2 linked regions of the Caenorhabditis elegans genome follow. The protein of the gene in region 1 purifies or fractionates together with the protein of each later gene. This does not show direct contact. Each region holds a gene or a part of one and is shown in the gene's direction. Other genes may lie near its edges. The genes, in order: F40E10.5 and C27D8.2.

What was found.
Region 2: the proteins of F40E10.5 (region 1) and C27D8.2 fractionate together in Caenorhabditis elegans (co-fractionation; one large-scale study listed by BioGRID). This does not show direct contact.

What each region holds. Positions count from the first base shown.
Region 1 is NC_003284.9:14,693,705-14,709,564, forward strand, and holds F40E10.5 (DUF148 domain-containing protein), read left to right. Parts: upstream 1-8,085; 5' UTR 8,086-8,158; coding exon 8,159-8,260; intron 8,261-8,309; coding exon 8,310-8,434; intron 8,435-8,792; exon of another isoform or gene 8,793-8,970; intron 8,971-9,008; coding exon 9,009-9,204; intron 9,205-9,279; coding exon 9,280-9,405; intron 9,406-9,456; coding exon 9,457-9,627; intron 9,628-9,681; coding exon 9,682-9,816; 3' UTR 9,817-9,984; downstream 9,985-15,860. Other genes in the region: hch-1 (Zinc metalloproteinase nas-34), read right to left, coding at 2,815-2,983, 3,029-3,498, 4,296-4,507, 4,555-4,857, 4,903-4,997, 5,602-5,728, 5,773-6,157, 6,205-6,261; tmem-184 (Transmembrane protein 184B), read right to left, coding at 10,487-10,636, 10,973-10,993, 11,042-11,175, 11,729-11,920, 11,969-12,230, 12,571-12,903, 13,037-13,141.
Region 2 is NC_003282.8:12,704,432-12,720,291, forward strand, and holds C27D8.2 (BACK domain-containing protein), read left to right. Parts: upstream 1-6,785; 5' UTR 6,786-6,876; coding exon of another isoform or gene 6,877-6,988; 5' UTR 6,989-7,230; coding exon of another isoform or gene 7,231-7,302; 5' UTR 7,303-8,401; coding exon 8,402-8,424; intron 8,425-8,484; coding exon 8,485-8,593; intron 8,594-8,685; coding exon 8,686-8,955; intron 8,956-9,015; coding exon 9,016-9,312; intron 9,313-9,361; coding exon 9,362-9,528; intron 9,529-9,586; coding exon 9,587-9,707; intron 9,708-9,751; coding exon 9,752-10,014; intron 10,015-10,062; coding exon 10,063-10,315; 3' UTR 10,316-10,351; downstream 10,352-15,860. Other genes in the region: C27D8.4 (NAD-dependent epimerase/dehydratase domain-containing protein), read left to right, coding at 1-80, 513-647, 902-1,221, 1,990-2,278; C27D8.3 (Integrase catalytic domain-containing protein), read right to left, coding at 2,486-2,734, 2,969-3,302, 3,422-3,570, 3,624-4,162, 4,391-4,646, 4,764-5,093, 5,284-5,670, 5,910-6,232 and 2 more; C27D8.1 (Protein kinase domain-containing protein), read left to right, coding at 13,503-13,541, 13,626-14,165, 14,467-14,769, 14,819-14,920; idpp-7 (Intrinsically Disordered Protein, expressed in Pharynx), read left to right, coding at 15,565-15,792.

The sequences.
Region 1 (15,860 bases):
TGAAAAGTGACGGTTGACGATGGACGATGGGGCACAATATTTAATGTTGAAAATGTGTAAATTCGTGTTCTGTTTAGAATGTTGATTGTTCACTTCCGACCCCTCTCCGAACAGAGTTGGACGGGACGCAAGGCAAGAAATTTCAAAAAATTGCAAACGTGTTAAATCCTTAATTTAAATCCATTTCAAAATTTTTATGGTTTCCAGCACAATTATGTTTTTGAGCTCAACAAATTTTTAAATTGTTACCTGAACGTATTCAGAAACTTATATATAAAATCTATAAAACTAGATTTTTTAAATACCTAAATGATGTATCAAAACTTTCAAAATCAATTTGAAATTTTAATAAATATGTAGAGTATCTTTAGTATGGATAAACTTAAGATAATCCAACGTGATTGAATGTTATAGGAAAAAATTGAAAACTTTAGATTTAACAAACTTTGCAATCAAATTTTGGTAAATTGTTTAATATATGAAAAATTTGGGCTTCAAGGTACTTAGAGTATTGCCGCTTGTTTGAACTACTATTAAAAACAATTGGAAAAAAATTAAAATATACTACTCCTAGTGAAAAAGTTTTTTGGTCGACTTCAAAATTATGATAGGTAAAAGCTTTTTGACTGTGTATATATAAAACGTTTTACAGTGATATTTGGAAATTATAGCATTATAAGGCATATGCTCATGCTTAAATACTGTTATCCTATTTTTAATTTTCAAGCATATGTATATGAGTTATGAGGCATATGTATATGAGAACTGAGTCCCTTATTGTACCTCTAACTGGAAAATGTGTAATGTTTCACGTTCTAGACTACATTTTCTCTGTACTCATTACCTCCGTACCTCACCCTGTACCTTGAAATTCTACAGTACCCCTCTCCTGTAAACATTAGCTACTCACACAAAAAACAATACACTTCACATGACAAAAACTATTATTTTTACAAGAATTGAGAAAAGAAAGGGAAAAATGGGAAAGACAAAGCTGGCGGATCCGAGGTCCAGCACGCTTGAAAATGGTTCCTTTCTACAATGTAAATTTGCGATAACTTCGTTTTCGGCCCCTCCATCCCCCTCTCTTCTCTCACTTCTCCAGCACACCGCCCGAAGGCACCCACCACACTACCAGCACTTCAGAACACTTCTGGAGGACACGAGTTAATAAAGAGGAGAAGAGCTGTGATGGATTAAACAGTTAATTTGATGATTGCTCGCGCGAAGGTTTTGTGCAGATTATAAGCCAATTTGTTGTTTGAATAGATTTCATTGGCGTTTATAATTGAGATGAAGTTGAGATGCCACTAACACTTTTGTTTGTTTGTTGAGATGTTGTCCTGAAATTCAGAAAAAAAAGAAAATGATAACCGTTCTAGTCTGACATAGCTTAAAGTATTGGCACAGGTTGGAAAGAAGATCATGTACGTAACTTGTCTATCGTGCATTTTTTCTTCCCCGGACACTGTTTCAACATTTTTTTTAATTACCAGACAGCTTTTGAAGGCTGAAATTCATAACTTAAAATGTGTGTATTTAACAGGTACTCGCTTCAATTTTTGTGGAATTTAATCGAAAACATACTCAGAATAAATGAATAAATGAATAAAGTTACAAATAGATTTTTAAACTTTTTCTGTTTTTTGTCAGCATCTAAAAAGTTTTTGAAAAATTTGTAGTTGTTTTCTTTTTGGAACATTTATGCATGTTCGAAGACCTAAAACTTTTTAAGATAAGTAATTGAGTAATTGACCATAAAATAATACTCGGAGAAGTTTTTTTACTGATTTTCAAAATTATGACATGCAAACTGTAAATTAAATTTTTTTTTCAAAAAACACACACTTTTAAATTGTTTAAAGTAATATAATTCCAAAAGTTTGCCAACTGGTGATACCCTTTTTTTAAGTACAGTAGGCACAAATAGTGGTTTTTTCTCCACTCATTTATGCTAGTAACAAAAAGGAGACCGGTCAATTGGTGCCACCCATCTGACTTTTTTAAATATTTTTTACATTGTTTGCATAAGTACCTCTTGGTTCTTATTCACATAAAAAATTGAATTTAGATTATATGTTTAGTTTTGCCGATTTTATTCTAAACATTTTCTACATATCACTCCACTTTTCCATAATATTGTTTGATATCCATTAGCATAAAACATACGATTAAATGATGACACTTCATTAGCCATTGTCATACGGTATTTGCAAACACACGCCGCTCTCTCTCTCACTGCCACTTTGCTTCCGATCTTTGATAAAAGCCAAGTTTACAAGACGATTTAATAAAGGGTTTTATGAACTTTGACATTGTTGAATGCTCAACATTGTTGCAATTGACTTCTATTGTGTTGATGACCGTAACCACTGAAAAGCCCCCAAAGCTTACATTTTATTAGATTTGACTGATGCCGGATGGGAGTCATATAATAGATTTGTAAATTGAATCATGTATTCTTCTTGGCGTGGATTCTTGACATAATCCTTTGGGAATATCACTTATTATAATTTGGCTTTGGTTCCTCTTTTCTTGGAAATGTAGAAATAGCGTCATTTTATAAAAAACAGGATTTGAAAATTATTCTTGAAAAACTACTGAAAAAAGAATCGGATCTTACGTCAGATTGGAATTCCAGAAATTGTCTTCGTTTAAAGTTTTTTGGATAGATTTTAATATTTTTGAGGGTAAAAAGTTTGCAAATAAGATGAAAAAAGGTATTTATTAGATAAATTAAAATTTTAAATATTGTTATTGATCAAAATACTGTTGAGATTGGTATTGAAAGAACATTGAGAAATTATCTAAAAGTTAGCCTTTTCTCTGCTCAACATATCGTTGTGGAGCCGCTGGTGTATCTGCTCCTGGCCGTCTACAGTATCCAGTGCCGAACGATGTTACGTAGAAGAACGGACGGCAGCAATATCCTCCAGTACATGGGTTGGTGTTACAGTAGACAGTTTCCACGTAGGTACCGCATCTGTAATTCATAAAATAAGTATCAGAATAAATCGCATTCAGTCACCTTCTCGATTGAGTTCCACATCCTCCACATTGTGCGGAACAAGCCGACCAGGATGCACATTGCGATGTTGACGTGGTGGTCGTAGGTGGAGCTTGGGTAGTGGTGGTTGTTGTAGATGTGCGAGCGGTAGTTGTGGTTTGCCTGGTAGTAGTTGTAGTTGGGGAAACGGTTGGAACCGTTATTGGAGCCGTGGTCGTGGTGGTGGAAGTGGTTGTTGGGGCAGATGTTGAAAAAGTTACAGGATCATAACGATAGTTCAATGAGAACCTCGCTCCGTTTACTCCTTTATAAATCACAACAAGAGTATTGGTTTCAGATAAGGAGATAGTTGGATAAGATGCACAGAATCGTGCTCCAACTCTGCTGAAATCTCTTCCGTAGTTGATTTCCAGGTAGTTGGTGGTGCATGGAGAGTATCGGGAGAATGTGGCAGCTGTCATTTGGAAGTAGACTTTTGCGCCAACTGGGGCCTGAAAGAAATGATGTCAGTTCAAGATTTTTAACGAAATTCTGTTTAGAACTGTTTCAGTTCCAATAAAAGTAAAAATGATGTGTTTTCTAACAAGACCACAAAATTTTGATCGTAAATTTTAAAGAATTTATTTATATTTTATGTTTACAGACGTTTTGATTTTATCACTCGGCATTTGGCTCTAGCTTCTTGTCCGAATTTGGCCAAAAAAAGCTTGGATCAGAAGCTGGCTAAACTTGGGCAAAACTTTGGTAAAACTTGGATTCAGGTTGCGCCAAAGTTTAACCCAAGTTTCACCAAACTCTTGCCCAATTTTGAAACTAGGCCTTCCGCGAAGGCGAGGCGCAAAAAAGGGCACACCACGCCTGTGCGCCCACATTATCACACTCTGTGTACTGCGGCCGACACTGCGCGGGACCTCGCGTAGTGTGGAGCGGTCGGGCTAGAGTTGCGCCTTCTTGGAAGACCTATTTTAAAAAAACCAAGAAAAGTTTGATCCAACGTTTGGCAAGAGTTGGATGACACTTGGGTTAAACTTTGGTGCAGTCAGAATCCAAGTTTAGCCCAGCCTTTGGCCACCTTTGGCCAACTTCTCATCCAAGTGACTATTATTTGAGCCAAACTTGACAAGAAGCTAGAGCCAAATGCCAAGCTCATAGCGGCTTTGTCATCGTTATTATGTTCGAAATTTAATATCTTACAACTTTGGTGTACATTGATCGAAAATATAAATCTAAAATCTTCAAAAATCAGCACACTTATTCCAAAATCTCGAGGTAAATACAATTTGCTCACCTTGATAACATAATTACAAGTCAAGGCACCTGATGCAGAAATAGTTTGAATGGAACTTGTCGCAGTGATATCTCCTGCACCACACCCATTACTATTGGTTCCGGCAACATCACAAAGTTGTCCACCGAAACCAGGTGGACATTTGCAGTTGTTACAGTCATTTGGATTGATGTACCCACCATTTTGACAGTCGAGGTAATTAGAACAAGTAGCTGAAAATTCAAACTAAGAATCAGTTATGTGATAGTTTAAAACTTACAATTACAATAAGCAAAGTTAATTCTCTTGACATCTGCAAAAGATGGAGCGACTCTCTGCCCAATAGTTGCTTGAAAGTTTGGATCACGTGTAGCAATTGTGTTTCCGCCGGTAGAGGAGAACGCCGCCTGGTCATAATGCATAACAGATCCGTAATCGTAGCCAACTCCGTAGTCTACCATACTAGATGCGGACTGTTTCGTAAATTGAGAAAGATACATGTCTTGAATGTTTTGGGTGAGAATTGAAACATAGTCATCACGATCGTAACGAGCTTGTTCGTGGTAGAATCCAAGGGCGTGACCTGAAAAATGAGTTGTGTCAATTTATTTTGGCTTGGGACGTTTACCTATTTCATGGCACACTGTTCCAAGCGAGGTGCATCCCCATCCAATTGACACGTCTTGAGGAAATCGGCTCACCTTGCCAATATTCGAATAACACCTGTAGTTTTTTCCCAATCACGGAATGTAAATGTGTACGTTTGGACAAAAAAATTGTCAGGGCAGAAAGCGAAAATACGAATTTTAACTGTTCACTTTTAGTATTATTTTTTCTAAATTTCAGCGTTTCTCAAAACTGTTATGATTTTTTTGAATTTATTCGATTAATTTATAATTAGAAATACAATTTTACAGCTTTTAGATAAACTTTTATAAACTTAAAACTCTATTAATCCTACACAGTTAACAAATATTTTTGTTTTAGTGTTTAAAGTATTTTTAAAAAACTGCGCTAAAAATGTAACAAATTTACAATAAAATATATATGCCTTGTGTGTCATCTATTTTTGTTATTTCCATTTCAACACCAAAATCTGTGAAAAGTCACTATTTTCAATCTTCAAAATTTGAATCGGAGAGAATCATATATAACCTGCTTGAACTGTCCGTAATTCCAAGTGGAACATTTTTCAAAAAATAAAATTTGCATTTGAGATAACTGCATTAATTCCTACAGTTAAAAAATTGCTGAATTTTAAATATTTGCATTATTAAAATAGTAATCTTAACAAAGATTAACTGTTTTTGAATTACAATTCACTCACCCGTTGCCAGATATGAATCTTAAGGCATTTTGCCTCGACGAGGAACTATAACTATTCAATCTTGTGAATCTTGCGCACGTTTCCTGCTCCCATTTTGCTACTCCGGCCAGAACCGCATTCGTGTTTACTGAAAATCAATATTATGACAATATGCTTAATTATATTAGTCACCTCCTGATGATGTATCAATATAGTATGGCACTGGGAATGACCAACGTTCTGACAAGAATGAAGTCATTGATCTCTTTCCACGAATTGCGTAGAGGAATTCATTAGTTGAAGATTTGCGAGCCCAGTATTGATCACGGACGTTTTTAATAATCAAATCCATTTGTTCATCGGTAAGTACCATGTCTCCTTCGAAAAGATACGGAATTTCATCGGGTTTGCTTTCAATTTTGTCTTCAAAATCCAACGCTGAAAATTCATCGGGTTGTGGAATGCCAAGAATATCAGCTTGAAGTTTGTTCAAAATGGTCATTTTGTCCATGAATTTTAGGGCATCTGCTTGTTTGAAAGGTCCCTTTCCATTAACGAAGTCGGCAAAATAGCTTTTCTGAAACAATATTGTTTTTTATTAAGAACAAAAGAAACACAACTCACAGCATGACAAATTGGAAGAAGGCACAGAACGATCAGCACCGGCCAGTAGGAAACCATCGCGTTCGAATGACAGAAATTTGGAGTTGTTGCCAGACGAGATGTCTTATCCCATCCAGAAATCTTATCGGGACTATGCCGTGGTATAATATACGGTAAACACCCTCATTATTACTCATTTTTCTGATATCTCTTTGAGATTATTAAAGGATGCGGGCCATGGTGGGTCAAGGTTTCTCTAGGATTGGCCAGAACACACGTTTAAAGATCAAAGAAACATTGAACGTGATATTTGATCATTTTGTGGGAGCTGGACGTTACTATCATTTTTCAGTGTGATCCCTGTTAAAAAAATGTGGGCAAAAAGCCATGATAACTCCTCTTGTTGACTATTGACATATCTGGAATCAGCAAGTGTAAATGCGTTTTTCTATCATTTTGAAATTACATTGGTCTGATTTTAAAAAAAACTTAAGAACAATCTGTTTTTTAACCGCTATGCACTGCGAATCTGGGAGCCAGGTACGCTGTCTGGTGGGGCTCCCACTGAGCTATAATTTAAGCCAAGTCCTGGCTGGAACTATGGCCAATAATCCAGTCGTGAATTGCTCCACTTTCCAATAGAGGCTGGGTGAACCTAAAGAGTGAGGCCGAACTTGAACACGTGACCTCTAGATTGCTAGCGGTCACCACTGCCGACTGAGCTAATATCTCCCAAATATTATACAAAATTCGACTTGAGAATCTATTGGATGTTATATTTGTAATCTGATTCAAATTTCAATTTTTTAGTTTTGTGTTTAATATGTACAGTGTTCATGCTTAAATTATGTAATCGAGAAAAAACCAATAAATAATTTTTTTTCATAAACATATTCAGTTTTGGAGTTCATCATCGGAGTCGTGTTTTAAGCTAAAACCGGAAATTACAAAAAATTTTAATTGCCCCTAAAAATATATTGAAGGCTATTTCCAGTTTTCTTCATACAAAACTTTTGTTATCGTGTATTCTGATGTTTTTCAAAATTTGATAAATAGTTGGATTTAATAAAATATCAGCTTGAATATTTTTAATTTAAAAAATTGTTCCAAAATCACACGATCAAAGTTTAGTAAGAAAAAAAATACGTGTTTATTCTCTTCGCCAATTTTGAAAATTGATAATACTAGATTCATTCAAAAAAGTTGCACATATTCGCTTCTGATATGCTCCATGAAACTACCTTTGTTCTAGACGTACTGAAACAGTCATATACTGTGACCGTGCCGTGAAAGTCCAAACCGTGAAAGTTATACAATTTCCGTTTGAAATAAAATTTATTTCTGAATATCTAGGAAAAACTTTACGAAATGTGATGGTAATTTTTCGATTGTTCTATCAAGCCATGTCACCTTTTCTATTTCTTTTTTCAATTTTTTAAATCGAAATGTGTCTTGACCTTATCACGCTTATAGTCTTGAGCAAAACTCATTTCCCTTCAATTAAAAAAAAAACAGTCGGAACATTGCCATCCGGGCATTCCTTTGTTACCAACAAACAGGCCGCTTATTCGTTTCCCACACTTGTCCGGTCAAAGAAACCAGCTTGCCCACTCTGTCTGACCGCTTGCCAAGCCAAGCGCGCCCTTTGCACACTGTCGTCCGCAATCTTTTGCCTGTGGGTCGTGACCGGCTCGTCTGCTCCAAATGTTTGTCTTAGTTAAATTCGTTCGCGTTTATTCGCGCACATTTGCGGACATTGCTATTGGAGGCGGTTACGGAGGCGCGGCAGGGAGGCCGGCTAAAAATAGTGAGGATTGCGTAGATGGCGCAGACAAAAATCCGTTTTTTAGTCACCGCCGACTGTTGTTGCACTATAAAAGAGCCTTGTTGAGATGGAGAAGAAGAAGACGGATAGCCTCTCACTTTTCATATTTCTTCAAAAACTTTTCCTAGTTTCTTCTTATCACTACCAACAATGCAAACTTTAATATTAGCCATTTTCCTTCCCTGTATTGTTTTGGCATTTCCACCTCGTCACTCCGATCCTTTTAACCCATTAGGCCCATGGCACAAGAGAGTAAGATTGTTTCCAAGTTTACTGTATGATTTTGTTATCTGATTTTAAGACAAAACCATGTGGAATTCCAAAATTCATAAATGAACTCCCATCCGAGGCAGCTGAGAAGATTACCAAGATTTGGGAAAAATATGTGGAGGGAAATACTTGCGAAAAGGAACATGAAGAGACAAGGTGAGATTAAATTTTTTAGTTGGTAGGAAAAGTTTTTAAAAAAGTTAGAAAAGTACTGTAATCGAAATAATCGGATCAAGTTGTCAAATTATCATTGTTTTTGCTTGGAAGAATTTAAGAGTTTTAGAAATAACATCCCAGGGGCATTTTAGCTCAGCCGGTAGTGGTGGCCGCTAGCAATCTGGAGGTAGAGTTCAAGTTCGGCCTGACCCCCCTAGGTTTACCCAGCCTCTATTGGGAGGTGGAGCAATCCACGACTGGATTATAGGCCACAGTCCCTGGCTAGGACGTGGCTTAAAAAATAGACCAGTGGGATCACCACCAGGCAGAATCCTCCCAGCCCGCAGTACATAGCACTTGAAGAACGGATCGTCCTATAATTATTTTTTTTAATCCTTTAACACTACTTTCAAAAAATCGTGAGCTTGTAAAACCTTGATAACTGAGACCAATTATTGAATTTAAGTTGTGTCCTTATCATTATATGGCACCCTCTGTTAAAAATAACTCTGTGAAATCGGACATTCGCATTGAACCAAAATGTATAAAACATTTGTAAAGCGAAAATTTCCAGAAACATCATCCGTGGCCTCACCACCGAGGAACGAGACAAAGTTTTCGCTGGGAGATGTGGACCATCCTTCTTGAAAAACGTGTCATCCACTGTGAGAGAGGAGTTCAAGAACGTCTGGTTCGACTATAAACTTAGCGTTGTTGAGAAGGAGCTCGCCCTTCAGAAGTTGGCTTATTCTCTTCTCACTGGAGAATCTGTAAGTTTAGTGTTCCCTTGTTTTTGGGCAATAATTACTTTCATTGACAAACTTTCATCAAAAAGTGCATTACAGCTTGCTCTGTTCAACAAATGGGAGGAGGAGCTCAAGACAAGAAAGGTAGAGGTCGCTAGAAGACTTTCCGAGCTTTCTCCAGATGCCAGAAAAGCCTTCGAAGAATGGAAGGAGCTCCGTTTGAATGTAAATTTTGAAACGATTTCTTATAACTGAATTTAAAGAGTATTGGTTTAGGAAAAGAAGTTCTTGGCAGGACTTTCCAAGGAAATCCGCGATGAGCTTAAGAAAATGTTCATTTCCTCCAAGGATAAGGAAGTTGAAGCTACCACTACTACAACTACCACCACTACCACCACAACTACCACGACCGAAGCTCCAACTATGCCGGAAGCTGTTTCTTCTACCGTGAGTTTTTGAAAGTTTTGTTGTCATAATATTTAGTTTAAAATTTATTTTCAGACCGAGCAATCTACCACCACCACTGCCGCTGCCATCATTGCCGAAGAAACCAAAGAAAAGGAATTCTCAGCCTTCCTTTACTCTCAGACCCCAGAGGAGCTTAACAATGAAGACCAGTGCTCTTTCCTGGCTTAAAGCTTTATTTTGAGTTGTGTACCCTAATTTATTCAAATTTGGAATTGTCGAAAGTATTATTCGAGTTCAATTCGCAGAGTTTAATTTATTGGCAGTGTTTTTTCTATATGCTTTTCTCAAAATCATTCCTGTAAATTACGATATCAATAAAAAATTTCTATCAAAAACTCCATTTGTGATTATTATTAACAGAACGCTTTATTCGAACCTCAATAATCTATAGTCATTAGAAAAAAAATATATATATATAAAATGCGATAGATAAAGAACATGGATACAGGAAAATGAAAATCACCATTAAATTTAAAAAAAAAATGAAGAGCATAAGTATATTGGACAGGTGAATGCGATGATTGAGATTCTTGAAGGGGGAAAGAGCGATATGACAGAATCCACATGGTACGCAGATCATCTGAAAGTTTACAAAAAATAATTCTGGCTCATGGGAAGTTGCGTAACATTTTTGTGTTCTCTTTAGAGCATTATTTTTAAAATAGAACAAAAAATTTTGTTTTTAATTGTAAAATTTTAAAAAAATTAATAAATACATTTTCAAACCATTACATGTGGACAGGGAATCGGGAGCTGTTGGAGTTGATTTTGCAAGAAAAATTGTGTTAAAGATGCCTTATGTTTTGTGAGAGAGAGAGAGAGGTGTACGAATAAATAACTATGCGTCGAGAAGGTTGCCGGTGGCTTGAGCCGGAGCTGATGATGAGCTATCATTGGTGCCGCTCTCCACCATTGTTGAGTAATTCGTTGCGGCACCACCCTTCGACATTCGTTGTTCTTCAGTGCTGGTGCTAGTCCCGGGTTGTTGCTGAAAGTTGAAACATGTGATACTTTTTGAAAAATTCTATAAATATCTAACAATTTTTAATTGAACCAATCACCATCGTCATGCAATCCCAAATAAATAATGCTTCCCGTCACCCATACATTGTATAATAAATCAAGAATTTTGTTTAAAAGTATTTGAAATTTTTAATTGAAAATTGGAAAAATCAATAGTTCACACACATAGTCTAATAGGGTTTGAACTTTGGAAAGATTTTGGAACGTCACATATATTCACAAAACACAAACAAAAAAAAAAGAAAAGGGGAAGCGGTATATATAAATATTAAACGATAAGCATTTAGAAACCTGTACTGACCGGTCGTTGAGCGTTGGAGTGCTGAAAGTAAATTAGTTTTGGAGAGCGGATTCAGTCAAAGTTACAAACTTGAGTGTATTGTTGGTATTGAGGGTGGAAATTGTGAATCGCATCCTGCATAATATCTTTGGGATTCATGGTTTCCTTGAGAGATGAGCTGATCGATTGGAGGGTGACTGGGCGGCCATCGTTGGCGTTGCTAGCTGAAATTTAGACAATTTGAAAGATTTAGAGTAGCTTGTAAACCTGTAATCACGTTTTTTTAAAATGGTTTATTAATTATTTGTAGAAGTACTCAGAGTATACTATTAACACTTATTTTCTTGACATCTTAGGATTAGGAATCCCAGCTGAGTGAGGCGCCAAATGCGGGCCTCACACCGACGCCGCGCGTGTGTGAAATGAAGTGCGATATTTAGTTATTTGAAGCGACCGACACTTTCGGGGTTCCGCAGCTTAGCGTGAAAAGCGTATCTTAATTTGTGCACAACGTAGTGCGAAAAAGTGGTTGTTTTGAAGCGACCGACACGTTGGGGTACCGCGCCGCACTATACATTCGGTTTGAGTGACGCCGTGCGGCCGGCGGAGGCGCTGTTGCGGCGTTGCGGCGGGAGCTCTACTTAAATAGGATATACAATGACCTTTAACATTTTCAAACTATGTCAGAAATTCAAATGGTATCAGAATTTCCAAGAATTTTTTGACTTTCATAGTTAATGATAGGTTAACCTCCGCAAAATTCATATTTTTACCAACCGTTGTGGGCATCGGCGTAGGCGGAAACATTGAAAGCGAAACGAAGAGCAATTGCGGCGAAGAACATTTCAATGCAAATGAAGAAGTTTTGCCATCCAGCGGCGACTGTTCCACGTCCGATCACTTCTCTTCCTTCGGCATCGTAAATCGGGTCGATCGCAGAAGTGGCTCCGAGAATAGCAATGAGGAATCCTAAAGATTTGAATTAAGTCAAAAATCAAAAAACTGTTGTACACTTACCCTGCCAGAAAGACAAGAAGATGACACTCTTGACAGTCAAGAACTTGAGAACCGGGCGATATGGGCTGAGAAGGTCGCGAGTTGCTGCATAAAACAGGAACATTCCGTAGAGGGCGAGCGAGATAGAGACGTTATAGACCAGCGTGATGTAGATGTATCCTTGATCGAGGCTCCAGTTGCCATCCTCGTACTTTCCAATTGCAGTCAGCATCAGTGTGATGACAGCCATGATTGGTTTGATGAAGCAGAATTGGAGAGTTGCCTGAAAAAAAGTTTTTTAAAATGTTTCAAGGACATTTTGAGCGCTGCAAAAAAACGATTTATGAAATGCTCTAACAGTGCTTTTAAAAATCAATTTGTCAAAAAAAATAATTTCGATTCTGAAATGAAAGATTAACCACTCTTGGTTAAATACTGAATCTCATTAAACCGCCATTGTGACATTTTCAAACATTACCCACGGAAAACAATTGGATTGACAGTAGATTGACAAATGGGCTACCCTAAATGCAAATTTTTCGGGTCAAACAAATTCCTTTGTTTTTCATGTTTTCCCAAATGCCGCCTTGAATATTTTACTTCTAAGCATTCCCGTTTCTCACCTGCTTGCAGAATCGAAGGAACTCGATCGTGTACTGCTTGCCGGCCAAGCAGCAGGTGCACGTTAGATAGTTGGTCGGACGAATCGGCTTTCCACGAATCTCGGCCATGATGTTGCTTTCACCACCCAGGTACTCATAGCAGAGGGACAAGAAGGAGTAGATCACGAAGGCTTCATAGCAGTCGCGAATTGAGTTGAAGTAAATGTAGACGTTGTCAGAGAAGAAGATGAGAGATAGCCACGAGTCGAAGGCATAAATTGGCACGATGAATAGAATTCGAACAATCCAACGCTGTTCTGCTGGACATGAGTAAAACCGGAGGTGTTGGTAGATCTGTAATTTAGATAATTGTATATTTTCATATTTCTTTTGATTGTTTTGAAATAGCACAACACTGCTCAACATAACATATTTTTCATAATTTTTAAATTTTCCAACTAGATTTCCAAATTCAAATTCCACCTACTTGATGACTGGTTATAAGAAGAGCAGCCCAAGTGCAGAGGCCGGCGAGCCCCTGTGCGGACGCCGACCGGATGAATGTGGTTCCCTCTGTGCCGTTGATGGTCATACTAGCACATTTCTGTAAAACAAGGATGATTTAATTAACTCTGGGAAATTGGGTAGATGCTCTTGCGAAATAGTTGCACCAAAAGTTGATTGGAAATATAAAAAGAAAACGTCAAGAAAAAAGAGGAAGGAGACACAAAAAAAGTGGAATGGAAATTGAAATAAGAATGGCGAATGGAATGGCAAAAAAAACGCAAAGAAGAGGGAGAAATAGAATGACAGATGGTTAGAATCAAGTAAACAAATAGATTGCTTGAAACCAAACCAATGAGTCAATATCACGTCAATCAAATATCGATCAGTGTGACAGTAGACGAAAACCTGTCCATTGATAAGGGAAAAGAACTTTGCCACTTCTGTACTTGGGACAGGGGAACTAAAAGGGTATTTGGCCGACAGAACCAGTAATTGGAAATTTGAACATTTCAAACATCCTATTATTTTTATTAGCAAGACCTAAAATACTAAATTTTTCGACACACTGAAAAAAAAATTCACGACTGATATATAAGAATTGTCCGAGTTTAAATTTCTTTCCTATATGTTATTACTTGTTTCCCAAATTTCACCGATATGATAAAGGATTTTATGAACCAAACATTTGAGGTTGCCAATACTATTTTTAAATGGTTAATTTTTGAAACAATGCTAATAGAGGAATGATAGACAAAATAAGACAACGGAATTGCGTGGGCAAGATCAATAGCCACTTTCAAAACCGGAAAATATTTGAAAAATAAACCGCTGCAATGTGCAAATTAAAACCTAACCGCAATTTTTTTCTGATAAGCTGAAAATTGAAAATTGTGACTTATAATGCTATATATATATATATATATATATATATATATATATATATATATATATATATATATATATATATATATATATAACATTTTCCTTCCCTCATAGTTATTTCGAAATTAAAAAAAACTACAAACCACGCTTCTCCCTATACTCAAATAGTTTTTTATCGCGGTTGTCTTGTTAACATTGCATTTTTCAAAGAGAAACTTTTCGAACGTGGGATTTTTGATTTTTATGCAAAAATTGGTGCTGGGTACAAATAGATAAAGCCTGAGTAAGTGAGAAATTAAAAAGCAATTGAATAGTAGGAAAACGGAAGGAAAAAGAAACAGAATCGCATAAGGAAGAATCCAGTTTTGTCGCCCAATAGTCATTCCTATCCAGCCTAATGACATTGTGGAATGAGATGTCATCGGTTTTTGTTTCTCACATTAGACGACGCCTCTTTTTAAAACAATGACTAACGATCAAAATGTACACGTGGCACAGTGAAGGGCCTCGAGGCAAAAAAAGGAAATACATAGTGGAGAAAAGGCAATGCGCACTGCTCTCTCTCTCGCTCTATCTCTATCTTTTTCTCTTTTAGTAAATAACGGGAGAAGGAATGAAATAGAAGGCAGAAAGAAGCAGTGGCAGGCGATCTAGAAGAAGACGAGTGCGCGGCGTCGGGCAGAAGAAAGCATGGACGTACCCGGCAGCAGCATCCCTCTTCTGTTGCCCATAGAGCGCGGTTGCACCGCTTCGGTCGATCGATAGGCAGCTGAGATGACGAGCGGCGTATGTGAGAGGGGGGGGGGGGAGTTGACTCATTGTGTATGAAGCGAGAGAGAGAGAGATCGGCAGAGAACCGAACGAAAAAACTACTACGGGGGTGGATGAGACGGCAGAGATTATTGTGGTTGGGATCCAAGAGACAAACGTGTTTTGAGGCTGAGTTTTAAGAAGAAAAAGAAGAAGTGGGAAAGCGGAGGAGAAAATAGGAAAATAGAAAGAAAATGAGGAAAACACAGTTGAAATAAATAATGTTTGTTTTTTTCCCATTTTTTACTTTCTGTTTTTTTGGCAATTTTTTTTTTGGTTGTTTTGTAAGTCAGTGAGAATAGTAAACAATAGTGTTGTTAATAGACAATCATATCTTATCTGTTGCGAACAAACAGCCTGCCAAACTACTGACTCCTTCTCATTTTCTATTTAGCTGTATTTTCAAGTAATAACTTACACAGATGGCACACAAAGAGGAAGACCAAGTGAATTGTTTTTCAGAATGCCAAAATGGGGAGGGAGCCGCTATGGAAACCTTAGAAGTCGTAAATCACAAATGACAATTTTTACGTTTTCGTTCAAAATTTAGTTTGTGAAAGTGGCACTTCAGAATGTTGTGCTTAGTTACTAAAACTTTTGAATTTTGAAATTTAAATGTAGGATTCCCGAGTTTTTCAAAATTTGGTGTGTTAGGCGGGATTCGAAATGTCTATAAGACTGATTTATTCCAAAAAATATAGTTAATCATTTTTGGCTATGGAGAGAAGCAGCCTGTGAAAACAGGAAAAAATTGTATTTTTTTTTTGTAAACAACCACCTATATTTTCAAAATTTTAAAACATAAAACACAATTCGAATTTCAAAAGAAAAGTTTCAAAAAATATATATGCTTTAAAAAAATGAAAATATCTTAGCCACGGTTTTAGCCACACAATTTCCAAAGTTAACTGTAAAAAAATTATTTTTGTCAATTTTACAAGTGAATCATTTCTATTCAAACATTGTAAATGTTCCAACGTGCAGCAATTTCCTTAACTTTACAAAAAAAAACCAGCAAAAAAGTTGACTGCATTATGTTTCATATTGTCTCCAATTGATCTATTTTGTAAGTTCATATCTCTGTAAGTCTTGATCAAAGTATCTGATCTTTA
Region 2 (15,860 bases), on another chromosome or scaffold:
CCTCTCGATTATGGACGCACAAAAGTAAAAATCGCCGGAAGATGCTTGTGATCGGCGCGGATGGAACTATTGGAAAGCGGGTGCGATATTTTACATTGCTCTCCTGCATGGAAACGCGCTCCACGGCGAAATTTAAACTCCCCGCCCCAAAACGTTGGGTCTCGTTAGGTATTTGGCGGCAAAAACCGGAAATTCCAACTTTTTCAATTAGCTTCGCCATTTTTCAAGAATTTTTTGTTTGAGAAATTTTTTTCAATTTTTTAAATAATTTTAATAACGAAATGATGGTTGAAATTTTGTATTTTTTCATCAATTTTGGTATAAACTCATTAAAAAGAGATGTGCTCAAAAATTGGGCGAAAACGACGAAACTAATTGGAAACGTTTGAAAATTCGGCTTTGCCGCCAAAAACCTAACGAGACCCAACTGTTGGAGGCGGAACGTTACCATGGAGCGCCTTAAAAAAACCTGCATAACAACTGAAATCCTCAAATTTATCGATCGGTTTCAGATAATCGAAATTCTTCAAACAAATACGGATTTTGAGTGCCACGTGGTTGTTCATCATCATGCGTCACCAATTCAACCATTTCAAAACGATTTGAACACGGTGATCTACTCGGTTGATTTGAAACATCATGAACAGGTGCGGGCGAAGTTTCTCGATTTTTCATGGTCTCGCCACGAAAGAAATATTTTCAAATGAAAGCTCCACAAAAAAGATTGTGCCTTTAAAAAGTACAGTAACCCACAATCTGTTATTTCTCAAAAGATTTCGATTTTTTAAATTAAAAACAATATATTTAAAGACAATAAATAAACAAAAAAAACAATATTTTTCCGAAAAGCCAAAAATTCAAAACAGAAAATTGTCAAATTTTGCAACAATTTCTTTTTCAGATTCTCCTTCTCGCCAATCAACTCAAATCCCATCAATTCGACGTGGCAATATTCGCTGCAGGAATCATGTTAGCACCGGAATCCCGAACGAAAGATGGCGTCGAACTTCACAATGCAGTTAACGTAATCGGACAAGTAATGCTCTACGAGCTTCTACAAAATGAATGCAAACGAGCAATATTTCTATCGTCTGCCACAGCGAGAATGGCTTGTTACTCTTTGGATTCCAATTTTTTGAAAGTTTACGCAGGACCATATCAAGCATATGCATCTTCAAAGCTGAATCTAGCTGTTTATGTGAATGAAGTTGCCAAGAAAAGGTTAGATATTTGAGCAGGGAATAGGTATTTTCCTATAACACTTTTTATATACCCAAGTAGTCAAGTAGTCCGGAAAAACTACCAAAAAACCTGTGAGACTGGAATTTTTGAAGTTTCAAGTTGTTTTTTCTAGCAATATTCGGGAAAATTATCAGAAACTTCTGAAACTATTAAATTGGTCTATAAATGGTTTAGATTTACTTTTAAAAGATTTTGAAACGCTTAAAAATTAAAAATTATCGAGAAAAAAAAATTTGAAAATTTTCAAGAAAAAATTTGAAAATTTCTAAAAAATATTGTTTTCAAAAATTGAATTTTTCAGATATTACGCGTACACAAAATTCTGAGAATGCGTATTGCGCCACTTTTTGGCGCGCAAAATATCTCGTAGCGAAAACTACAGTAACCCTTTAAAAGACTACTGTAGCGCTGGTGTCGATTTACGGAAATTATTTATTAATCGATAAAATATTTTGGAAGAAAACACAAAAATGGCCAACAAAAAACAAATGAAAACAATGGAAAATTGAAAAGAAAATCGAGTGCTCCCGTAAATCTACGCAAGCTCTACAGTAGCCATTTGAAAGGATTACTGTAGTTTTCGCGACGAGATATTTTGAGCGTCAAGTATGTTGTGCAATATGCATTCTCAAAATTTTGTGCTTTCTGTAATTATTTTTCGGTTTTTTTGTTGAAATTTATGGTATTTCTGAATTAAAACAATCCAAATTTAAAAACTCCACCCAAAAATCAAGTTCAATTTTCCAGACGCGTCAATACAGTAAGTCTTCATCCTGGCACCGTGCCAGGCCGTCTCTATCAAAATGCAAATCCAATTGTTCGATATCTGAATGCCACACTGCTTCCAAAACTGATGAGAACCCCAGAAATGGCGGCTGTTCTCGTGCTTCACACGATTTTCCGAGACGACATCCAACCTGGAGCCTATTATGAAGATACTCAAATAGTGAATGTACCAGAATGGGTCCCGGCACGAGAACGTGAACGGATCTATGATACTATTCATCGACGCATCGATTTGTGGATGGAATGTTGATAAATTGCCAATTTTTAACTTATTTATTTCAATAAACGGAGAATTGAAAAATTGAAAACAAAAAAAACGAAACGAATCAAAAAAATATAACGAGATCACAGTTTTTTTTTTTGCAAAAGGCGGAGGAAGTTATTTGGTGGAAAAATGTGTTTTTTTGGCCAGCAAAATGAGAATAAAGTGCAGTTTTTTTGGAAAACTTTTGAAAAACTAAACGCGTAGAAAATGATTAGTGTGTGAAAAATCAAGATTTGAAGAATAATCTCCGTTATTCGTTAGATCATCCATTAAATCTTCGAAACTTCTATCCTGAGATGAGGGAGGACCTAATGTTGGAGAACGAATTGATGTGGTTGTTGGTGGAATTAGTGATGGATGGTGATGGGATTGATGATGATGTTGTTGTTGTTGATTTAGATTATTATTGGGTCTTGCAGCGGAGTACACTATTTCGCAGACCTGAAATATATACTGAGTAAGATTTTTTCCACAACACGTGGCGTCAGAATGCCCCATTTTGGTTTGATCTACGTAGATCTACAAAAAATGCGGGAGAAGAGACGCAGAGTTCTCAACTTATTTCGCATGGTTAAGAACGTGCTGACGTCACAATTTTTTGCGCAAAAAATTCCCGCATTTTTTGTAGATCAAACCGTAATGGGACAGCCTGGCACCAGGTGAAAACCGACTCACATCATGCGGAGTCTTTCCGTATTGTTTCATTAGAGCCTCCAATTGCATTTCGAATGATTGATCCATTGGTCCAGGTGTCATCATTGTTGGTGTTGTGTTTGTTGGTGATGACGTGGATGAAGATGATGACGTCATCATCATCATTGACATCAATGGGTCGTGATTTTGATTCTGATGGTATCGTTGGGGAAGATTCGGCGCAGTGAAAACACATTCCGATGGAGCATGAACCGAGGATGATGACGTCGGAAGATCGTGCGATTCGGAAGGTCGCGGTGATGGACGAGGTGTCTGATCACGGCAGGCAACAACCGCGACACGGAGAGGCGTGAATCTAGAATATTGGAAATGTTGAGATATTGAGATATTTGAGATATTTGAGATATTTGGAAAGAAATCAGTGGCTGAGTTTTTAAAGTTTCTAGGCCACGTCTCAAATTTGTTTTCACTCACTTGACATGTGTAACATGATTCAATGGTCCTTTATCAGTAATATTCGAAGCAACACCTCTAACTCTCTTCACATCATCTACTGGGAAATACTTTTCGATGACACTTGAAACTGGCATGTATTCCAAATTATAAGTGAGAAGATAGTCTATCTGAAATTATTGATTTTTCAATCTCAATTTCCAAAATTTGTATAAATAATTACCTTAGCTGTTTCAGCGATATCTGAAATATACTCCAGTATACTTTTCGCCTGAAGCTTCTTCAATTCGAGCGGCTCCAAATGTATGATTTCCCCGCAAAGGTTACGGTAGCTCACACAGACGCTTCCGCCGAGAATGTAGGTCAACCGAATCACCATACAGTTGTGACGTGGCATTAGCAAATTGACAACCGCCTGTGTATCCAGGAACCCATGCATCAGATAGTGTTCCCATAGCACCTTCACGGCTGCCTTGGGATCTTGAAATATTTGCAAAACCTCGAGAATTCCCCGCCATACGCTGAAGCGCATTTGCACGGTGTCCGTATCGAATCTCAGATGGGAGCACAAAATGTTCTTAAAACTAATGCAACCCTCATGGTTCTCCTCGTCCTCGAGCTCTGTCGAGTCATCCCCACACTGTTCACAATGCATTTTGTCCTGAAGCAGGGCGTAATCAGATTCCTCCATTGTACGGATAACTTCTCCATTCACCATGAAGTATCGACGAGTTAGATGTTTGAATTGGGACCATGTTAGCGCTGGAAATTCAGAAAATTTTTCAAAAAAAGCAGCTGATATTCCAAAATGGCTAAGTATGTATTATATACTTTTGATCTTACCACAGATAACGTGTAAGGACTAAAAAAGGAGACTAGCCGTGGTGTCTACTCTACAGCACTTCTACAGTAACCTCACAATTATCTAATTTTGCCTGAATTACAGGAGATTTATCGAATAATATTTTCAGATATCCGAAAACTTCTTACGTTTTTCATTCCAATTCAACAGCAATCCATTAATCCCGCATGTTCCATACATCCAAAAACACGTGGCAGTATACGAAGAGTTCATTCTCTGAACCTGACAATCCTGATTTCTTCGTGTGCTTATTGTGAATGGAAGAGAAAGCGTTCGAACATGAATGTAATTTCCCGTTGGTGACCACGTTTTCGCACGGATGTAGAAATAGAATAGTGGACGCTTTCCGGTTGTTCCAGCACGACTGTCAAGGAGCACTGCGTCCTGAAATGAGGTTGGGGATTTATTTTTGTCTATATTTTTTAAAGTTTATAGGAGAAATTTTGCAGCTCTTAAGATTTAGAAAATCAAAATACTATTGTCAAATTGATTTCAACCAACCTTCTGCCTTGTCGTGCACAACAAATGTGGATACGTTGTCTGCCACGCATTTGAATTATCACTGAATGTTGGTGGAATTGTCACGAATTCCTGACTATTCACATCTGATTTCTTGTGAGCTGTATTTCCACCGGTACCCTTTTGATTCGCCGTCGCATTATTCCTTTTAACTCCAGAAGTTGGTTTCATAGCAATCAAAGCTGCCGATGGGAAGACTTTGGGCTCTCGTGGACTACTATTTCCCATTCGACATTGAATTATTTCGTTTTGAATTGCGAATGCGGTCTCTTCACTTACTATTTGGATGTCAAATGATTCGAATATCAACGTCTGAAAATTTTTGCTATTTTGATAATAATTAAGCTCAATCAGCTAAATTCAGGCTTAGGCTTAGACCTAAGCATAAGCTGAAACTTAGGCCTAGGCTTAGGCTTAGGTATAAGCTAAGGGTTAGGTTCAGGCTCAGGCTCAGACATAATCTAATAAACAACATGACAATTTTCGTAAATGCAAGACTTACCCTACACAAGGTGTGACACGTGAAAGTGAACAGATTATTCGTGACCATAATTGACGAATGGTTTGGCTCATTACACATCAGAGCATCATTCATCACATATTCATAGGTAATAAAGACTTCATTCAACAACTGCCACAACGTATCAGGCGTTGCAAATGTATTCTGTGAGCATGTTTGACATTCATATCGGAATCCTTGAATTCTCACAGCGAGAAGACCCAACGTGTATGCCAGTGAAGAATAGTAACTCCGGATCTCATAAGTGTCTTGCTCGACTAGTTTTTCCTGATTTGATAGTCGATTGACTTGAGCTCTTCGGAGGCTTGAGTGAAATCCCGGAGCATTTTCAGCACAAGTCCTGCGGAATGCAGCGAGGCAAGGTTGGAGCTGGAAAAGATTATAATAATTTCTATCAATCAAGCTTGAGGAGTTATGTTTAAAATTACTTCAAGTTATCTTATATAACAAAAAAAATTTCTGGAATAAAATTATGAGAAACCAAACAAGGCCCGCACGTGATGTCAGAGTGTCCCGCAATTTTGTAGATCAAACCGTAATGGGACAGCCTGGCACCACGTGGGTCCGCTCAATTTTCAGTTTTTGTTTTAAAGCAAAACTTTACGTACCTGTCTGGTGAAATAAGCCCTCATCTTGATTTCAATATTACAATTTGGATTGTCCAGTTGCGAGTACAACCCATGTAAATAATGAAGTGAACTATTGTACAACTCATGAAATTGTGTCCACCATTGCTTCGCTTCAGGGCACACTTTTGGAATTCGCATCGGACGAGCAATGTTTACAAGACGAACGAGGATATGGTTGAAGCTTTGAGTAATATCTCGTTCGGGTTCTGATGGTAGACGAGACAAGCATGTCAATAGTCCCCAGGCAAGGATCACCCATTCGTTTTCGAATTCATCATCGGTTATGTCTGTTGATGGAAGTGCTGGAAGAAAAGAAAAATCGGCAATTGTCGGAATTGCCGATTGTCGGACATTTTCGGCAATTTGCAAACCTAATTATATTTTGGAAATTGAAAAAAATCACTTTTTTCATTCAAAATCCACCTTTTTTATAATTATTCGGGTAGATATTTTTCAAAAGAAAAAGACAAAGGATTAAATCATTTGGAGCTTTAACATAGAAAATTGTTTATTAAAATGCATGTTAAGGCTCCTAAATCTATTATACAAAAGTATCAAATTTATATTTCCGGCAATTTTGATTTACTGCAATCGGATATTCCGGCAATTGCCGGTTTTCCAAATTTCCGGCAATCGGCAATGTTGGCAATTGCCGCGTACCTCTGCCCGTAACCCCTTTTCTGAAATTTGTACAACTACTGATTGCAATTCTCTTCTTTATTAACAATCGACATGTGTATTAGAAATATCTGGGATCGTAAATCAAAACGCGTATCACTGTCAATTTTATCTCTGTCTTCGTTCCCCTTCTCTTTCTCTCTCTCTTCTCCTGTAATCTTATCTCATTTGTATCTTCTACCCAAATCATCGTCTACCCAAACAAGGATTCGGGCGCCCTCGCGCCCACGTGGGGGTCTTGCTTGGAAGATCAAAACTCAAATCTCACCTTCTATTCGTTTTTCTAGAATCTGTTCGATGTGATTTCGCAGGATACCAATGTTTGACTCGATGTTGGTCACTTCCTGAGCTGTTTGGGGGTCTTTGCTGAGCTGGATTAGCTGAGAACAGAGGGAAATTGGTCGTTTGAAAACGAAAATCCACTAGCGTGAGCCCCAAATGGTAGAATTTGCGACGTGGCCTAGAAATGTGCAAAACTTGGCCACCAAAAAATGTGTTATATAATTCTTTCTTTCAAAGTTTCGAGTATGCACAAAAAGCTTAGTTTTACCAGTGGCTGAGTTTTTGACACTTTCTAGACCACGTGCAATCTAAACCCCATTCTAAACGTAAAAAAACTTACCAACTCATAGACAATCTTCTGATAATGATCAATTGTAGAGAATGGGGAAATCGTTTTGTGTGGTGTTGTCATTCTAACATAGCCTGTAGAATTTTTTGTTTGTAAATTGAAAAAAATTATATTGTGAGAGAACGGAAATGCTATTTCGAATGTAGAAAAATAAAAAGAACCAATAGAGAAAAGTAAAAATATTTTTTGGAAAAGCTACAAAGCTCCCCTCTTTATCAGTAACAGTTGAAACAAAAAACAAGAAAAAAATAAATTGAGAAACTCAAAAATACTGAAGTACGAGTATGTTTCATTTACTGATGCAATAAGATTGTTGATGTGATATCTATTTGATGATAAAGAAAACGTTAGAAAACAATGAAAACTTTCTGGCTTTCTAAAAACATTTTCCAAGAGATTCGCAAATTGACAACACATTTTGCTCTTTTTTTGTAATTTCGAAAAATGTTCAACACACGTTTTTGGAAATTTTTTGGAAGTGGCAGAGCTGTGTACGAGACACATGTGTTGAAACACACATTGAAAAATGGAGGCCGGGGATAACCTCTTCCACGGTTATGCTTTGCAGCTCGTGTACTCCCCGAGGAGAAGATTTTCTTTATGTCTTTGCGAATTGATTGATTTTTGGCTATTTTTGGAAACATTTTTAGTATTCAACATCAAAAAAGTAGTAGCTCAGAAAAAGGCTTTTGTACTTACTATTCAAAACCTATCGAGGGATATATTGGTAATTTTAATTATGAACCCAAAAAAATTACCGAAAGGCAACATTTTTTTTTCTACAAAAATTGTAAAAATTCTTTGTAAAAAAGGCACAAGGAAATTAGTAAGGAAATTTTTTTTAAAGCAAAAATTGCAGGAGGTTCAAGGACATTTAAAACTTAAAGAGTCAAGAAATGGGAGGAGTCAATTTGCGGGCTTTTAGAAGGGTTACTTGTTTTTTCACACAATTTTCATCTTAATCAATTTTTTTTATTTTTCACAAAAAATTTAAATTTAATTCCCGTGAAATGATTTTTGAAACACGTTGAAATTATATTATCTTAAGTTTCATCTACCACGTTCCACAGAAAAAAAATCAATAGAGAATGTCATTTGGAAAATTCAATCATTCCTATTTTACTTGCTTTCGCAAAATCGACGATTTTGAAGGGTCACTCAAATGGAAACAGATAAAAAGTCGTCGTGAGTTTTTGGGTCTCACAGCGAAGTCTGTAACTTTTTGATAAGTTTAAATTCTTCCAGCGATTCGAAAAAGAAAAAAGTTGGACTTCCGAAGCTAAAGTCTTCGGAATCGGATAACAATGTGATATCGAAAAAGGCAAAGAAGAAGGATGCGACCGGTGGTGGGAAGGTAAGAGAGAGTTTTAATAAAATGCTGCTGGTGCATGGATATACCTATGCCTAAGCCTAAGACTATTTTCGTAATTTTTTTGTTGTTTTTAGGTTGTCCGCCTTCTCGGCAATCGTACGGTCTACCATCTTCCCGTCGAGGAACTTGCTCGCTGCTCTCAGCTGGTCAAGCAACAGCAAACCGCCGGAAACCCGATGTCAACGGTCGACTTGCACCGCTTCAGCGATCAATCGATAATGGCTTTCGTGAATTATGTGCAGAACCAGGAGATCAAGTCCGATCTGACATACTATGCGATCACCGAGCTGGTCACGCTGGCGCACACCTTCCAGATGAAGGAGTTGAAGATGTATCTGGAAGATGTAAGAACCTACATACAATCATCTAAATATTCCTGGTTAAAAATAAATATTAAATTTCAGAGCATAGTCGAAGCGGCCAAGTCCTCCGAAGCAGATCTTCTCCAGACGATGATCGTCTGCGACGTGGCCCATGTCAACCCGGACACTGAAAAATCTCTGCAAAACTTTGCCATCGAAAGCATTGAGAAGCTTGTAGCTCTTCCAGATTTTCACAAAGTTCCGTTCCACCAACTTTATCAAATCCTGTCAAGCTGCGAACTGGTGGTCACACACGAGATGTTTGTGGCCGATGTGATCCTTCTATGGCTGAATGGGCAAAATCATGTGAACGCTTTTGCGCCATCGTTGTTGTCCTGTGTAAGTGATGTAGCTAGATTACTGTAGATTGATTTTTCTCATTTTTCAGATTCGCACAAAATTCCTGAGCCCCGTCGATCGCACCATCATCATTGAACGCATGAACCAGCTGAACATGCCCACGAAGCTAGTCCGTTTGGCCACCAAAATGCTCGAATCGACGAACAATCAACGTGTCTGTCTGGACCCTGGTCATATTAAGAAGAACTTGGGGAGGTAAGAGCGTTAGCGGGCTCCAATGAGCTCAACTTACTCTAATTTTTTTTCATTCCAGATGTGGAGCAAACATGAACACAGCTCCATTTAATGCTCATTCGTCTCTTCCTCTCAGTCGGCCAGCGTTCAATATGAAGATGAAAAAGTGCAAGGAGCCGAAAGCCAAGCCAACTTTTGATGTGAGCTTCCTCTTTTTTAAAAATATATTCTTGTTTCTATTTAGCCAGCCACTGCTCAACGAGTCATTGATCTGATCAACACCGACCCGAAAACTGTGAAAACCGAACGTAGTGTCGAGAAAAACAAGTTCAAGAAGAAGCAGAAGGAGGAGAAAAAGGCGAAGAAACAGATATCGAAGAGCACGAAGAAAAAGTCAAAGTGTGCTTGTATAGAGTACGTCAAGAACAAGCTCACTGAGAAAAAGAAGAAAAATCCATTCAAGGATCCGAATGCTGTGAAGGTTAAGCCGCCTGGAACGAATAGCAAGTAAGATTCAAAAAATGCATATTATCAACTCCCCCAATTTTCTTTCAGAATATCCGAAACAAGCACCAAATCCACAGCGGTCATCTCCAAAATGTCTTCTCTATCGAAAATCCAGCCCACTTCAACTCTTGAGAAAAACCTGCACAAACGAAGAACCGGCAAGCGTACCAAGATCCAAGGAGCTATCAAGCTTTCCAAATCACAGTCGGAACAGAACATTAGTAGCTCGAAGAGCAAATCGGCATCACGCAGTGGAAGCAGAAGCAAGAGATCGGAGAATAGTACTAGAAGTGGAGTCTGAAGAGCCACTGGAAAATGAATTTGAAATTCTTGAAATGTTTTTTTTTGTTGCGAAATTAGATATTCTGGAATAAGCTCGCGGGCCTCCCCTCATCCCTCTGTCGCCTCTCGCACGAAATACGTTTCTAAAATATACGAGGATGAAAGTTTAGAGCTCAAAGAGGGCGGATAATGAGGCGCCCCTCTACGCCTCGGCCTGGTTGAATACCTACTCCTGATACTTATACAAAATATATTAACTAATAGGATAAGTAAAGACAATTGACTGATTATGAAAAGAGTTGAATGAGTAAACATTGCCTTTGAACTATGATTTCTAGTGATAAATTAGATAAATTATGATAGATGTCTGCGATTTTTTTTTAAATTTCAGAATAATTCAAAAGTTGAACGGAATTTTAAGAAAGCGGCGGACATTATGCGGGACTCTTCTAGACTACGACTGACCGTTTTAAGGCACTATTTGATGAAATTCACTTTTTTTCTAATTTCTACTCACCGCTTCAAGTAATCAGTATATGCTCGACGGAATTCGTTTTTAAGAATTGTAAAAACTGACAGTTTTGACAGCCACACGTTGTCCCCCCTCTCGGCCTGACCAATAAGTTTCAGTTTTATCAAAAGTGATAAATGGTCAAATCAATCGATTGAAAAATGACAAAAAAATGATACCAAAAAATTGAAATTTGAGTTGTTAACGAAAAACAAGTTGTGATAGAAAATGTAGATTCTATTTTGGGATGTGGGAGGTCACTGTAGGTGCCAACTATGACGAGGCCCAGTTTTTCAGAACAACAGCCTGTTTGATACAGAACATGGCAAATTATTTAAAAAACGATTCAAAAAATGTTTAAAAGAGCCAATATATGGGCGGAGCCTATTATATACGTTTTCTTGCACCCTACATCTCTTGGATTTATCTGTGTATTTTGCATAAAATCAACATCGCTTTTGACGCAAAACCAATCTAAAAATAATTCAAAATGATAAATTTTTAGAACTAAAATTTAATTTTAAAAAATCAATAATAGGCTCTGCCCACAACTTGGTTTATTCTTGTGTGATTTGAATTCACAAATATAGATATTGGAAAATCAAAATAATTGAATAATTGTTGAACAACTAAGAGGGAAGAAAAACGAAAACGATATATATTTCTCCCTTGGTAAGAGAAAAGATTCCCCCTAACTGGAATTCATGATGCATTTGATGAGACAAAAAGACGAAAAAATGAAATAGCACTGTAAATCAAGAGGGTCCAGAGATGATAACAATGATAAGAGAGTGTCCAAATGATACTGTAGTTCAATGAGAGAGAGAGGAGGAAAAATGATATAATGATAGTGATTTTAAGGGGGACTGCAACGGGCGCAAAATTGGTGGGACAAAATAAGAGAAATTGTCTTCTGAATATCTGTTTCTTTTGATTTCTTGGTTACTGTGTTGCCACGTGACTTGCAAGTTAGAGATCGAGAGACAGAGAGACACAAAGGTCATAGAAGGGGTGGTCTCTGTTGTAGTTATAGTTATCAGCTGGTTGTCATCAGAAGAAAGGGGCAGAAGATGACAAGAAACCACGAGGATGCACCTTTGTGTGAGAAAAGAGAGTAAATTAAAATGGCGTGTGTGTGTGCCATGTAATTACAGACAAAATGGCGTGGAATTTCAAGTGGTCAATAAAAATGGAAACATCTAGAAACGGAGTGGGCTGATATGGAAATGACCAAAATTCACCAGTGCAACCTCTTGCCTGCCTAGCTCTTGCCTAGCTCATGCCTATCCAATGCCTATCTCATGCATGCCTCGTGCCTAACATATGCCTATATCCCGCCTATCGCCCTACATGCCTACCCATGCCTGCCTAGCTCATGACTTCGTTGCGCCTACGTCTAGCTGCCTACTTTCCTACTTTCCTATCTAATGCCTGCTTTTTTAAAAATTTTAATGGCTGCTTTTGTGCTTACTTAGTTTTAGATTTTTTGTCAAAATACCAACAAAAAAAACAAAAAAGTCCCAGCCCTGCCTACCACCTACCTACCTAACGCCCGCCTGCCTGCCTATCTCCATTTACACGTGAACTCAGTGTTCTTCCGGATTTTTTCAGACGAAAGAAATTTAATTTTTGGATTTTCCGGAAAATCGGGAAAAAGTCTTCTGAATGAAAAATCTCCTAAAATCACCCAACTTTAAACTGAATAATTTTAGAATTTTTTAAACAACTTGGGACATTTCCAAAATTTATTTCACAGTCTTAGGAAAGATTTTTTTTCAGTAAAAATTGCATTCTAAAATTAATTCAAAAATCCTTTTGTGATTACAGAAATATTTAAGGCACTACACAAAAATTTGTACCGAAAAAAATTTCGAGAAACAAACAAGTTCAAAAATTTCCATAAAAATCAAACTTATGTTTTCTTTCAAAAATCTGATTTTTAAAATCTACCTGCCTCACTTTGTGATAAAATCAGACTTGTGAGGTCTACCTTGAGTTAAAGGCCAAACTACATTTTTCTCTGAAACGGAAACTTTTTTAATTGGTATCCACTATGCGGGAAAATAGTATCGAGAAAAGTGAATAAAAAACTAATTTTATTCGAATTTTATAACCACGCGCACGTCGTCCGCCACCCGCAACAGAAAACTGATCAGGGTCATTGGAGAGTTTTCATCAGATTTCCGCAAAGTATCTGTATTTCTGTTAGAAATGATGAAAAAAAAAGAATTTGATTTTGGGTAAAATTAATGTAAATGTGTATGGTGGGTGGGTGGTGAGCGGTAAGTTTAGATAAAATGGGTATGAAATTGATAAGGAAGATTTTTCGTTGAAATTCCGAATTTCATAACAAGTTTTAGAAAGATAATTTTGAATTTATCAAAAGAATTGCGGAGCAGTGGAATGATTTCAGGTATAGAGTTCATAGACTATTGGGGAGACTGTGCACTTGTGCTATCTACTGTGTTTATTTAATTTTTCTGCACTGAATTCTGTTAAAATTTAACAAATTTAAACATTTTATCGAAACACATCGGGTCAATTTTTAAAATTTAAAATGTTTCAAAAGTTTGTCTATTAACGTGAACTCCTCTCCTCCTATAAAAAAGGGTTGTATATAAATCCGAGAAATTGAAAAATCAATCAGTTCTCGAATTTTCCAAGTGATCGATTGCAAAGAAGACTTACAAGTAAGATGTCTGATGAAGAAGAAGAAGACGTTAACTTCAAGCCGGTGAGTTCAAAGAATGCAACGCCTACCTGCCCACCTTCAAGACAGGCCGGCATTTTGACTGCTTCTTAACCGTGCCTATTTCAGGGAACGGAAATCAGTAGCACCAAAGCCAACTACACAGTAGTTCGTCTTTTGGGTGAGGGAGGATTTGGTGCGGTGTATCTAGTGCAGGACAACAAATCGAAGAAACAAAGTGCAATGAAAGTCGAGCGGAAAATCGAGAAAAGAAAGCATTCAAAACTGAAAATGGAGATTGCTATACTGAAATTGGTTGGAAGCGGCAAGCACTTTACGCAGATTGTGGATCGTGGAAAGAAAGACAAAGAGGGCTTCTTCTTTCTAGTGATGGAACTGGTAGGAAAGTCTCTGGCTGACTTGAAGGCTGATCGACCGGATAAGGTGTTCTCGTTTGCTACTGGCCTTGGCGTGTCATGCCAGTGCTTGGAGGCTGTCGAGGAACTTCATAAGACTGGGTTCATTCATCGTGACTTAAAGCCTCAGAACTATGCATGTGGGTTGGATGAGAAACGGCATAACATCTACATTCTGGACTTTGGTATAGCTCGGAAGTACCTGAACACGAAGAATGAGCTGAAGACGCCGAGAGAAACAGTTGGATTTAAGGTAATTAAAATTATATATTAGGGCTTCCGATGGTGACATAGACGTGTTCTGCCTGACTTGTGTGCGAATTTTCGTGAACAGCGTACCTATTTTCTACATTTTGACAGAGTTGGGGTGAAGCGTATAGGTACGAGGCAGGCCTATAGTAGGCACAAGAGAAACGAGTAGCCACGCAGCAGATTGGTAGGAACTGAGAGTGGTGTTTAAGTAGGCGCGTAGGCACAGCGGCAGGCAGGTACAAGTAGTCGTGTAGGCATGGTGGCGTGCAGACCCTATAAAAAACAAATTTCAAATCTTTCAGGGAACGGTCCGCTTTGCTCCAATCGCCTGCCACCGTAACACCGAAATGGGACCGAAGGATGACTGTGAGAGCTGGTTCTACTTACTTCTCGATCTAATCGTCCCTAGCGGTCTACCTTGGCGTAAGCTCTCTGACAAGCATGAGGTGCTCAAGGAGAAGGAGGAATGCCGAAAAGATAAGCGTTCCTCGTTGTTCGCCGGGCTCAGACAGACTGATTATCTCAGTAAAGTTTTGGACTACATTGACGGAAGAGCTTACCAGGATCGTGTGGACTACCAGTTCATCTACAAGAATCTTGCAGAGGTAGGGAGGCTTTAGTAGTCTGAAACAGATTGAAAAATTTATATTACAGGCTTGCAAGGTTTGTAATCTTGACATTGATTCACCGTACGATTGGGAGCTTCAGAAGCCGGAGAAGACGAGCAAGGAACCTACTTCCAGCAAGATGCCCTAGAACTTTGGGAGAGTAGAAGATGAATAAAATGGTTTTGGGATTCTTGTATTTGTGCCGGTTTATTTATTCCTGCCTACTTGCCTGCCTACTCACCTTCGTGGCAATCTTCGTCTGCCTGCCCGCCTGACCATGTAAGCAGTATGTAGGCACCACATGTAGGCAGGCTTCTACTCTGCCTGATTTGAAAAATTGCGACAAACTTGGGTTTCACAGAATTCTGACTAACATTGAGGCACATAAATACCTGCCTTCAATCTCAATATTGACTGAAAAACTGAAACTTTGGATAGCCAAATGTCTTCCTAAGCTACCTATGCCTGCCTGATCCCCTGCTTAACAAATGTAGAAAATGGGTGACAGCCTTCCATGTCGCCCACGTAGACACCGGTGCACAAGCTTGGTCCCTGAATGGCCTCCAACTTGAATCGTCCGTCATGATGATTTTTTGACCAATGCGGAAATTGAGCCTCAAGTGTGTTTTGGCGCGATATTAAATTTTTCCGCGCTACCAATGACCGTAAATCTTGATTGCTCCGCAGTGTAAACATCCTTCTGCAACGCGCGCGCGCGCTCTGGCACCTATAAAAGTGTTCGCGGGCGGATGATTAGAGCATAATTCAACTAAAATTACTCTCAAACAAAACATGCAACACCCAACAACAAAATACGTTAAACTTTCATTTGCTTTAATCTTCCTTTTCAATATTGCCTCGGCATCCATTTTTTCTGATGATGTCACAGAGGCTACAAGTAGCCCAGATACTACCACAACTGCAGTTGCAATTAGAGCCAAGAGACAGTGCGGTGGAATGGGTGGATGTTGTGGAGGAATGAGTGGATGCGGATGTGGATCTATGGGAATGTGTGGGCAGGTATGGAATAGTTTCAGTATTTTTAATTTCTAATTTCATCGATAAGTTCGTTCCTTAACATTTTATTC